3 linked regions of the Sus scrofa genome follow. The protein of the gene in region 3 interacts with the protein of the main gene of each other region in a pairwise test. Links are inferred from orthologs where the notes say so. Each region holds a gene or a part of one and is shown on either strand. Other genes may lie near its edges.

Region 1 (4,200 bases), on a different chromosome or scaffold from region 3:
TGCTTGCTCTGCTGCTCTGAACTTTTGCTTCAGGGACAGCGAGGAGGCACCTGAGGGGCCCCCTCAGTCTCACGCTGCCTGGGTCTCCCTCCCCCAGCTGGGGGTGGGGCTAGGTTCCCAGCGTCCCCCTCCCCCTCTGGAGAGCCCCCTGAGGCACCCTTTGTTATTGCCTTCTGGGAGGTCACTGGCTGACCCTCTGCCCCCCTGGAGCCAAGGGCAGAGGGATGGGACAGAGATACCTCTGTTTTGAAAGAGGGCATAGGTCAGGGCATGGGACAGATGGGGGAGGGGGCGCAGAACCCCTGAGGGGCAGTGAAACGCCCAGCATGCCAAGGGAGGTATGCCAAGGACATGTGTCAAGGACGGGAGGAGGGGGTGCTGGGCGGAGGTGGACATGTTACTTCACTGACATCTTTTCTGTGGAGGGGTGGTTTACAGTGGCCTCCGGGGGCATATGTTCTCCTCTGTCCCCCGGCAGTGTCCCAAACCTGTGTTAGCCTCTTGACCATACGTATGTTGTGTAATCTCTCTAACCCTCGGGGTTGCCTCTCTATGAACTAGGAATAACAATAACACCTTTTTGATGGAGTTGCGAGCGTTCAATTAGATTAAGCTAATGGCACACAGAGCACAGTAAATTCTAGGTAAATTCTTGGCCGGGGGCTGCCAGGGTCTGGGTGTGCCTTAACTCCACTCCTGGCACCATCGAGACCTCCACCATGCTCTGGACCCAGGCTCTGAGCTGACCCTCAGTGTGCAGCAGCCTTGGCTGCCAGAGGACTCTGCCCTGCAGATGCAGCTTCTGTGCCCCTCAGAGGCTGGACCCGCTGCTCAGCCCTCTACTGCCCAGCCAACCCTAGACCTCCAGCAAAGCACCACGTGAGGCCCTCCCTGGTCCTCAGCACGGGGGTCAGAGGGCCAGGCAGGGCCAGCCAGTCAGGACAGGGAGTCAGCCTTTCAGCCAGTGGCTGGGCAGCACCTCCCCAGCAGGTCCCTGGACTCCCTTCATGGGTTGTTCGTAATAACAACTACTTAACAAGTGGGGCTGCAGCCAAACCAATTAGTGCCAACCCACAGGACAGCCTGGGGCAAGCAGAGTCTCCTGAAGGAGGCCTACTCCGCATTGGACCTACTCCGCATCGGACCGAGCTTCTATCCCACTGGCAGGCCTAAAAGGACCCCAGGAGGATGTCAGAGTGAGGTGCCACCTCCTGGGCACTGAGTGAGGAGCCGGGTGGTGGGAGAGGGCTTTGTAAGCCAGAGCACATCTGGGCCAGAAGGGTCCCTTTGGGGCAAGGGCACAGGGACACCAGGTTGGGCTGGGATGAGTGAGCAACAGCCAATTTTGAACACCCGTGGGGAATAGCAGTGTTGTCACTCTTCGTGTCATTAACACCGTTTATTGAGCACCTACTATTGTGGGGCCCTGTGCTAGGCACTCTCCAGACGCTATTACACCCTCCCAGGAGGTGGGCACTGTTACCCCTATTTTACAAATGAGGAAAGAGGTTCAGGGAGGTTGAGTAACTACTTCAAAAACCAAGTCTCTTTGAATCCAAAGTCCAGGCCCTGCCATAGACCCTCCACCATGACCCAGAAGCCAGCAGGGCCGGTGGTCTTAGCCACTTTACTCAGAAGAACAAACTAAGGCCCAAAGAGGAAGTGACTTGCCAGCTCTGGAGGGCCAGAAGGGACTGGAACCCAGACCTCCTGCTCCCCAGGCCCAGGATTCCCTTCACTGGGATGGAGCAAACAGCCCCTTTTACCTGACGGGTTCAAAGCAATGACTTCATGATCCAGTACCTCACAGAGGCAGACAGACAGCTGTTATTATTCCCATCTGCCAGATACATCAACTGAGGCCCAAGGAAGGGAACCTGTGTCTTGGCCTCCTGCCACTGTCAGGACCCAGGAGTCCTCTGGCTCTGAGGGGGAGAGGCCAGTGAGACCGGAAGCCACCAGGTACTGGGGCCACAAGGCACAGTCCCCTACCTCCCGGCTCTTAACACAGGCAAGAGTCACGTGGACTCTGCTACACAGGCACCAGTTGCTACCAGGAGAGGGGAACACGATGGGGATTGACGGGGTGGGGTGGGGAGGAATGAGGAGGTAAGGGGGCTGAACGAGTGGGCAGCACCTTTTTCCTCCTGGCTTAGACCACTGTCAAGTCAGGTCAGGGGCACCCTCCTCAGCCGTGTGAGTTGGTAGGTTAGCCAGGGGAGGAGGGAGAGCAGACGGTGGTGGGGACACCGGGAAGTCAGGACAAAGTTCTTTCCTGGGGCTCTGGCAGGTGCGCCATGGGATACCCACCGCCTGGAGCCAGCGAAGACAATTACCAGGAGGGCGGCGGGAAGATCGCCTGCGCAGGTCACGCCCCGACCGGCCCCCAGGGCGCCCCACCCCTTCCTTTGGAGGCTCGGCAGATAGGCGTCCCCGAGGTCCCACTAACCTCTGATGCCATGTTGGGCGGTTCCTCGTCGTCCGGGAGCCTCAGTCCTCCGGGTCTGGAAGACAGGACAGGACTGAGGACCTCCTCGGCCCCCTGGCCGGGGGTCCCTGGGGCGAGGCGGCTCCAGGTTGGGGCACGGCGCTTGGTGTAGGCGGACGTGGGCAGCCCTAGCGCGCTCGTCCGGGTCCTCTACGTCCTCCGCTCCCGCCCGCCCCGCCTGTCCAGCCGCACACTCACCACCGCCAGGCTGCGCCGTGCGTCTCTCGGAGCCACCCGGCTGGGCTTTTCTGGCCGGGAGCGTCAGCCCCTGCCTGGCTCTGCCCCCTCCTCCTGGCAGCAGCCGCACCAATCCTGGCGGCCCGGCCTGGTGGGCGTTGCCTCTTCCCTCCAATCCGGACTGTGGGCGGAGCCGCCTCCGAGCTGCTCGGGGCTGATCCACCACAGGTAGGGAACCGTGAGGGTGGTGCCTGAGCGACCGTGCTCGAGACTGCAGACTGCCGCGGGCACAGGAGGGAGACCTAGGCTAGGGATAGAGGCAAAGACACTGGGCCGGGCCTGGCGGGCTCACTAGAGGTATAAGGTGAAATGGCATGCCCAATCTTTCATTCATTCAACAAGCACGTTCCCGGCACCTCTTCTGCACTAGATACAGAGTTAGACACTGAAGAAATGATACCTGCGTCAAGAAGCTCTAACAAAGCGTGGACAAGGTGTGCAGGGAGCACAGAGGGCAGTGCAGGGCGGGGCGTTTATCTGGGGGTTCTCAGGGGTCCTTGACACGACTTCAGCACGAATGAGAGCCTGGGTTCTAGGCGCCAGGAGTACAGGCTCGAACTTCTGCCCTGGAAGTGCCACATTCTGGGGGAGATGTCCCCTGAGCTGCGTCATAGAAGATGGGTCATTTTGCTTTTAGCTCAGCGAAAAAGGATTAGAACATTCCCTGCAGGGGGAGCAGCCTGGGCAAAGTCCTCGAGGCCAGAGACCAGAAGGTGAATGGCTTGCTTGGAGAACAGGAAACCGTCAGAGAGCCTATCACACAGGGTCAGGGGCTTGAGGACAGGGGTGGGGAGGAGAGGTGGGAAGCAGGCTGGGGCAGGTCAGGGTCTTGAATGTCAAAGGAGAAGGTTTGGTCTTGGTTCCATAGGTCATAGGGAGAAAAGACTTTTTTGTTTTTTGTTTTTTTTAATAGTTAACTTTCTTTTTTTTTTCCTTTTATTTTCCCACTGTATAGCAAGGGGATCAAGTTATCCTTACATGTATACATTTGTTCCCCCACCCTTTGTTCTGTTGCAACATGAGTATCTAGACATAGTTCTCAATACTACTCAGCAGGATCTCCTTGTAAATCTATTCTAAATTGTGTCTGATAACCCCAAGCTCCTGATCCCTCCCACTCCCTCCCTCTTCCATCCGGCAGCTACAAGTCTATTTTCCAAGTCCATGATTTTCTTTTCTGAGGAGATGTTCATTTGTGCTGGATATTAGATTCCAGTTATAAGTGATATCATATGGTGTTTGTCTTTGTCTTTCTGGCTCATTTCACTCAGTATGAGAGTCTCTGGTTCCATCCATGTTGCTGTAAATGGCATTATGTCATTCTTTTTTATGGCTGAGTAGTATTCCATTGTGTATATATACCACCTCTTCCGAATCCAATCATCTGTCGATGGACATTTGGATTGTTTCCATGTCCTGGCTATTGTGAATAGTGCTGCAATGAACATGCGGGTGCATGTGTCTCTTTTAAGTAG
Region 2 (3,312 bases), on a different chromosome or scaffold from region 3:
TGGCTAAGTTTATATTTAAAATCAAATGTGTTTGGATTTTTCTAGGTCCTCTGCTATAAATGTGGCAGGGTGAAAAATTATATTTAGAACATTAATTTTGATAGTTCAAGAAACTGGCCAGTTGGAATTATCAACCTATAACTTGGATAACAATGTTTCTGCGGAACGAAGCTAGAAGAAATTCCCTTTGCTGCTTTGCCCCTTGGGATATCTGGGTGTGGTTTATTTTCTTCTTTGACTAGAATAAAGATATGCAGGAAAATCTTCCTTTACAAATAAAATTCCTTGTTCTTACAAATAAGCTTAAGAAGGGAAAAAAAAAAAAAAAAGCAGCAAGCAGCATATCAAGCCTGGCTTAATCGTTTGCTTATACTGGTGCATATACTGGATATTTTCCAGGTTAACAAAAATAAAGCCACAGGGAAGATGTATGCAGCAGTATATTTAAGCTACTGGCTCACACACATTTTAATGGCGGAAAGTATATAAAAAATATGACGGCGGAAGAAAAACAGTAAGCAGTTATGAAACGTAACAAGTGTTCTTATTCTTTATTAGTTTAAAGGAAGCTGGAACTTGATAACAATATACCACATACGGTTCAGAACCAAACAAAGTCTGCTTAGTTATTTACTTTGCATTTGCTCCTTTTAGGAAGTGAGAAAAAAAACCCGGCTCCATTGGCACTCAAGTTTATTTTCAATTAAAATCCCCATAAATTAGAAAACATCTCATGAAACAGTGGAAATGGAGAAAAAAATGTTACTCAGAAAAAACTTTAAGTATCCAAGTCTTCTACGGTGCCTTGGATTGTGGGATCAAGTCTTACAAGGCCACTTTAAAGAAATGATTCAACCTCTGTGCTCATGTTTAGGATAATACAGAAAAATGTCCTGCCCTCTGATGGAAACACAGGAAAAATTTATACGTGCTTAGTTTTGAGCATTGAAAACACTTCTCCCCGCCCCACAATTCTGCTCATGTCCCACATGAGTTAAAGGATGCCCCTTAGAAACCAGAGCTTTCTGCCATTGTATTTTTTCTAATTAAAATTCAGAGTATTAAACACATCCATGCATACATGACATACCCTTATCACGTACCGGAAGCTCCGATCAAGAGCACTGGCAAAGGCCTATTTCATAACATCATTAAGATTCACTGTATGCGGCTGTTCAGAGAGGCTTTGTCAAAGCAGATAATAACGGCCTGTCAGAAGTGCGCAAACAGAAATTTATATTAAATTGTCCTTTCCCTCCTTTACTAGTGTGGGAATCTAGTTGCATTTCTAGCGTATGGGCTCAGAGGTTCACATAAAAGGCTTCTAGGTTTTAAGATTGTAAAGTAGAGTATTTAAAAAAAATAGTTAAGTGAAAACTATTTGAGTTAGTAGGTGGGGGTATAGTAATCACCCATAATGACTTTATCAAAACAAAAGAAAGTATATCTCAGGGGTGTGAAGGTAGATGGAACTTATGAGTCACAAGGTGGAGTGTTTAATTTGAAACAAGGCAAATAAAAGCATTGCTTTCTTTTCCTGAAGAACCTTTGGGACTCTTTACGTTATAGTTATAATCTCAGAAAATAAAGCCTGCTCATTAAATTTTTTTGTTCTTTTAAATCCTGCTGAGTGAAGATGCCTGGGAGACAAACTTTACATGCTGGCTTCCTGAGTGTAGTCGTTAAGTAGGAATGTTATCTGCCGATTCGATGGCGAAAATTTACTTCTTTAGACTCGATACTTTTCTTTGCCGTGTTCATTGATCACACATATGTGCTGAAACAATAAAGGATTTAAATGCATCAATTTCTTAACACAATATGAGGTGCAGAAAATGGGATGCAGTAAGAGAACAGAATGTTATCTTGTACTTGACTATTGTTCATTTAAATACATACGTATCTATATGTGTGTATACATACCTATATGTATATGCATATACATACACATGCAATATAGGTATACATGCACATATATGTAAAATCTCAAGAGACCCGTTAAAATGCTTGGCAAAGATTTCCTCTCTGTTTTGGTTTTGAGCTCTTTTCTGAATCTGACTCTGTAGGTCTGTAACAACCAGAAATGCTGAGGGTGGGAGATTACAGTTAGCAGTGACGGAGACATACGTCTCCTACCAGTGAAATTACAACTCCTGCAATGAGTGGACCACCAGCCACGGTAATCACAGTGCTGACTCTCCTCTGAGCCCTTTTGGGTAGGAAGAAACGTGTCAGAAATATTCTGATGGCAAGCAACAGAAATGGTGTCAGGTTACTGTCAGCAAAGGAAGTGGGGTGTTGTTGGTAAGAGACTGGAAGAGCTCACAGAGGCAGAGGAAGAGCAGAGTAATGAAGCAACTGGAAAGCAGGAACGGGGTTGGGGGGCGCTCCAGACCTCAGCCCATGGCTTAACGCCCAAATCCCTTGGTCTCTGCGGCTTTTCGTTTGTGTCTAATTTCTAGGGGAGAGAGGGAGAGACTGCTGGGTCCATGCACTTTGGGTAAGACGTCTACCTCTGGGTCCTTCATCAGCAGCCAGGGTCACACACCCGGGGGCCCACGTCTACGTGTTTAAAATCATTTCTCCAAAAGTGGGGAATAGTCATGAGCCACATGCTGCTGTAATTGATATCTTCTAAATTTCAAGCACTGACACAAAGTAGTTTATAGAATATCAACTATTATTCTAGTGGGGTGGAGACACAGTCGATGACTGTGGAGAAAAAAGTCACTAACAAGCTATGGTTCTGCTTTAAACGTCCTTATTTCCTGAGTACAAAAGAGAGATAATCATAACTGCTTCCACCATGCTACACCTACCTTGGGGATTCACTGGGATTCACTGGGATTATGAATGCCAAGTGCCTAGAATGTTCCTGACACAGAAGATACACCATAAACGGCAGCCATCATTACAACTATTTCAAAAATGTGTTAAACTGATACCACTCTTAAGTTCTTGTAAAAAGGGGGCTAGGGATTTGCATGCAAGACTTACATTCAGATCTCTGAAGTATTCATTGTAATCTAAGGCATAACCCACAACAAATAAGTTTGGAATCTCAAATCCAGCATCTGAGCAGGGAGAGAGAGGGAAAAAAAAGGAACACAATTTAAATAAGTATAAAGCCTACGATATGTTATTGCTGGCATTTAACCTGTGAGGACCTTCCGTTAGGCAGAAATAAGTGGAAAAAGTGATCAGCAATGCATACGATGAGCCCAATAAGACCTGAACTGGAGTGACTACTCAGGGAGGCAGGACAAACAAGCAAACATACAGTGAAAGACGACTGTCCTCCTCTTTTAGAGA
Region 3 (4,365 bases):
AATTTCCAGGCCACACTGGATCCTATAATTTTACTTGGAGCAGGAGGTACCTAACTCAGGTTCCCAAAGGATGAGTAAGACTTAGCCAGGAAAGTAGAAGTGGGATAGGAAGGGAGGACCAGGCAAAGGAAACAGCCTGTACAGAAGGCGCAGAGGCAAGGATCAAAATTGAAGAACTGAAAAAAGGTTCAATATGAGGGGGGATACAGTAATGACGTCCGAGAGCTGGGCAGGGGGGGCCAAAAAGGTCTCACAAACCACAACAGATGAGCTTTCCTTTTCTATCTGGGGGAAAACGGATTTAAAACAACTTCCTACTAAATCAAAGAGTCCACAAGCTTAACACCTAACTTCCCACACAAACATACCTGCAATGCTGTTATTATTATAGATATTCAATATATGCACAGTGTAGGGAAAATAGAGCAAAAATATATACTACACGCCAGAAGAGCTTCCAGAGAAACATCCCAACTGTAAGACAGTATTAGTTTCTTCTCTGTAAGACACAATCTGTATGAGAATAAGACATTCCAGAGCAAACACATAAAACAAGGTGCAGGTTCCCACAATAGCCCACCAACTTTACAAATGCTGTAAATCCAGTATTTTATATCCAAAGTACACCCTTTTTGTACTATAATGTGACATGCCCCCTTAGGATCACACACATAGGGGATAAAATCTGACACAAATACATTTGAATCTATACCAAATATAAAATAATCTAATTTATCCAGCAAGACTAGGGTAGAGGTATTTCTCACAAATTTTTTTTTCCATCTTTTTAGGGCCACACCCCCACAGCATATGTAAGTTCCCAGGCTAGCGGTCAAATGAGAACTGCAGCTGCCAGCCTACACCAGAGCTCACGGCAACACTGGATCCTTAACCCACTGAGCAGGGTCAGGGATGGAACTGGAGACCTCATGGATACTAGTAGGGTTCGTTAAGGCTGAGCCACAATGGGAACTCCACAAAAACTTACTTTTGAAAGACATTTCCGAATAAGTACCCATGAGTCTGCATCCTCTTAAGCCAATTGCGCAATTTTTTTTTTTTTTTTTTTTTTTTGGCTTTTTTAGGGCCACACCTGCAGCATATGGAAGTTCCCAGGCTAGGGGTTGAATAGGAGCTGCAGCTCCATGCCTACATCACAGCCATGCCAGATCTGAGCTGTGTCGGTGACCTATACCACAGCTCTCACTGAATCCTGGACCCACTGAGCAAGGCCAGGGATCAAACCCACATCCTCATGGATACTAGTTGGATTCGTTTCCACTTCACCACAATGGATACTCCCTGCAATTTAATCTTTACTCCACATTCTGGGCCATTATTTTGGAAATCAATGATAAGTTCCCATACTCATTATAAACAACAATTACCAGTATATAGTAGAGATAAATGCCCCTTCCTCAAAAGCACCCTTGATGGATATACACTGTTGTTGTTTTTTAATTTAAGCTACATACAGATTTAATTTCTTCTTTATCAGATTGTCACTCCTCATTAGCTACAATCCAGATGCCAACCCAGGCCTTCTAATTTGCTGCCTCTAGCTTCTGCCTAGGAAACCAGATAGCTATACTAGTTCAAGCTATAAGGAAAATGAATAAAGAATTGCTGAGTGAGTCTTTCCCACAAGGAATACATACATTTTCTGCCTTCAGTTTCGGCTGCTGGAAACAATTTAGCTTCTTAATAGGCATTCTCATTAATATCCCACGATGCCTTAAGTGATGAAGGCCACTCTACCTACAACTTTGTTACCTCCTGACAAGTCAGGTGTTCTGATCTAACAGTGATTGCTGGCTGGGTTTGCCTCCACCCCTCCTAAGTGCAAAAGACATGGAAAGTAGGGCCAAAATGCCCAGGTAACGGCAAACAAACCTAAATTTTCCTTAGTGGACCCTAGCAGAAGAGTGGCATTGACGATAATTCCAACTAAAATTTACTAAGCCTGTCTGCAACATTCTGAGCTCTTTCTATGTAGGAACGCATTTAAGGAGTTCAACATTTCTTACTAGCTCTGGCACAAGGAGGAGATGGAGACCAAGCGGTTTTAAAGGCATCCCAAAAGAAAAATGAAGCTATTACACTAAATCTTATCTCGAAACGCGAGGATGTGTGTAATACAGGAGTTGGAGCCAACTTCTGCTGCGAGCGAGCGAGCGAGCACTCCCCCGACACACCGGAAGTTTTGAAATACCCCGCAGGCTTCCCATAGGCAAAGTGCTTTTCCTTCACCCCATCTCTGCGAGCCCTCCCCAAGGTTCAAGGACCCGTCCGAGTTTTGCCGCCGGGCTAGGGCCCCAGCAGTGCCACCAAGGGAAGCCGGGCCGTCAATCACGGCCGGCCGCCAGCTCCTCGCCGCGTAACCTTGGCCGCTCGCGAACCGCGAATCGGGCAGGTGGGAGGCACCTGCGGCCCGGCCCGGGAAGCCGCGGCCCGCGGTCCGGGGTGTCTAAGGCGGACCGGCGCAGGCCCGGCTGACCGTCTCGGCCGCGCGAGCCCTCGAGGTGGCCCCGCGTGGGGCCGCGCAGCGGGGCCGGGCCCGGGGCTCGGTCAACTCGGCGGCCCGCCCGGCCCGCCCCCGGGGCCGCCACTCACCGAAGAAGCCCTGCACGATCCCCAGCGGGTGGCTGAGCCAATCCTCCCCACAGGGCATCTCGCCGACGGGCCGGAGCCGGCGCGGCCCGGCGTCCCGCGCCGCGGCTCCTCCTCGGGGGCTCGGCCGCTCCTCGCCCGCGCCCTCCCACGCAGGGTGAGCCTCGCGGCACCGGCCGCTCGGCCTCCCGGCGCCTCAGAGAACAGCGGCTGTGGCAGCAGCAGCCGAGGAGCTGCCGGCTACTGGCAGGCGCCGCGTGCGGAGCCCCCAGCCTCCACTTCGCACAATGGCGGGAAATAGGCGCCGCCGACCGCGCTGCCTGCGACCTGGGTGGAGCTCGCGCGGGGAGGGGCGGCGGGAGCGCGCTGCGCGGCCCCGGGCGGGAAGGCGGGGCCGGCCTACTGGGCGGGGGGCCGGCCGGCCCGGGGCGGGGCCGCGGCGGCGGAGCGGTCGCCATCTTGGAGACGGGCGAAAGGAAGGGCAGGCGCGGCCTCCGGAGCTCCGACCCTGGCGTCGGGGGCTGAAGGCGAGTGGTGCTGGGTGTCTCTCGCTGCCAGCTCGAAGGGGGAGACTCCCGAAGTCCGGTTCGTTTTTCATGATGCGAGGCCTTGCACGGTTTGGAGGCTGTAGCAGTCCAAAAGCACAAACCCAAAGAGACTTCAAAGTTATCTCTGGGCAAAATTAGAGGATAAAGCAGCCTTTCGTGTCTGCCCACCTTCCTCTAATTGCCTTTCTTTTTTTTTTTTTTTTCTGATGGCAACTCTCTTTCGTTCCCTGCCCAAAACCCTATGCAGTGACTTGCCCTCAGATGAAGTCTCAGCCCCCCAGGCAGGTGTGTGTTTAGATAGGGGAATTTGAAAGTCTGCAAGCTCCCTTTGCTGCCATCTCAGGCCTTGTAGAGGGACTAGGTCCTAAGTGAGAGGCAAGTTCATAACTGTGAAAATATACCCTGCCTAGAAGCTGGAAAGTGCGCTTTGGGGAGGTTCCTGCAGAATGTGTCAGGATACCCTCAGACAGTGGTAGCACACACAAGATAAGTCAACAGTAACCTTCGAATGAGGAAATTTGGAAATACCCAAGTTCTGTAGTGAAATAGTTTCCCCTAGGCCTGGAATAGGTCTGAGAAAACCCTGCTCATCAGCTGAAAACAGGTCGTGTTAAGAGAGGAAGGATCTGAATGGAGCCCAGAAAGCGGGCAGCTGGAGAACTGAGCTCAGATCTCAAGACCTCTTAGGGGCCAAAGGGGGTGTTTTTATTTGTCATCTTCAACTATTTATTCTCCCCATTGGTGGGGTGGGGGTTGGGGAGGTCAAGGTTGGTTGAATTGAGGATGCGGAATTTGCAAATACAGGGGGCAGAGTACTTTTTTTTTAAACAGCTGCACCTTTATGAAAGTTCCCAGTCTAGGGGTTGAGTCCGAGCTGCAGCTGCTGCCTATGCCGCAGCAGCACCGGATCCGAGCTACTTGTTTGACCCACGCTGTAGCTTGCAGCAATGTCCCATCCATCCTTAACCGCTGAGTGAGGGCTTGGAGCAAACCCACATCCTCACAGAGACAATGTTTGGTCCTTAACCCACCAAGCCATAAAGAGAACTTTTTTTTCTTTCTTTCTTTTTTTTTTCCAATTGTCTGGCTGCACCTGGGGCATATGGAAGCGCCCAGACCAGGAATTGCATCTGAGCCACAGCTGCAACCTACATTGCAGCATCCCTGGATACTTTAGTTCTTTAAACGACTGTGCTGGGCTGGGGAT

The links.
Region 1: the proteins of MCMBP (region 3) and ASL interact in binary tests that used the Homo sapiens proteins (3 or more experiments, as listed by UniProt). The two-hybrid records come from large-scale screens. The link is inferred for Sus scrofa from reciprocal best matches to the Homo sapiens genes MCMBP and ASL.
Region 2: the proteins of MCMBP (region 3) and PRTFDC1 interact in binary tests that used the Homo sapiens proteins (3 or more experiments, as listed by UniProt). The two-hybrid records come from large-scale screens. The link is inferred for Sus scrofa from reciprocal best matches to the Homo sapiens genes MCMBP and PRTFDC1.

What each region holds. Positions count from the first base shown.
Region 1 is NC_010445.4:16,636,083-16,640,282, reverse strand, and holds the start of ASL (argininosuccinate lyase), read right to left. Parts: upstream 2,803-4,200; 5' UTR 2,687-2,802; intron 2,505-2,686; 5' UTR 2,462-2,504; coding exon 2,450-2,461; intron 589-2,449; exon of another isoform or gene 1-588.
Region 2 is NC_010452.4:50,455,701-50,459,012, reverse strand, and holds the end of PRTFDC1 (phosphoribosyltransferase domain-containing protein 1), read right to left. Parts: intron 3,075-3,312; coding exon 2,998-3,074; intron 1,778-2,997; coding exon 1,730-1,777; 3' UTR 526-1,729; downstream 1-525. UniProt on the Homo sapiens protein: Has low, barely detectable phosphoribosyltransferase activity (in vitro). Binds GMP, IMP and alpha-D-5-phosphoribosyl 1-pyrophosphate (PRPP). Is not expected to contribute to purine metabolism or GMP salvage.
Region 3 is NC_010456.5:129,739,324-129,743,688, forward strand, and holds the start of MCMBP (mini-chromosome maintenance complex-binding protein), read right to left. Parts: upstream 2,883-4,365; 5' UTR 2,672-2,882; coding exon 2,614-2,671; intron 1-2,613. UniProt on the Homo sapiens protein: Associated component of the MCM complex that acts as a regulator of DNA replication.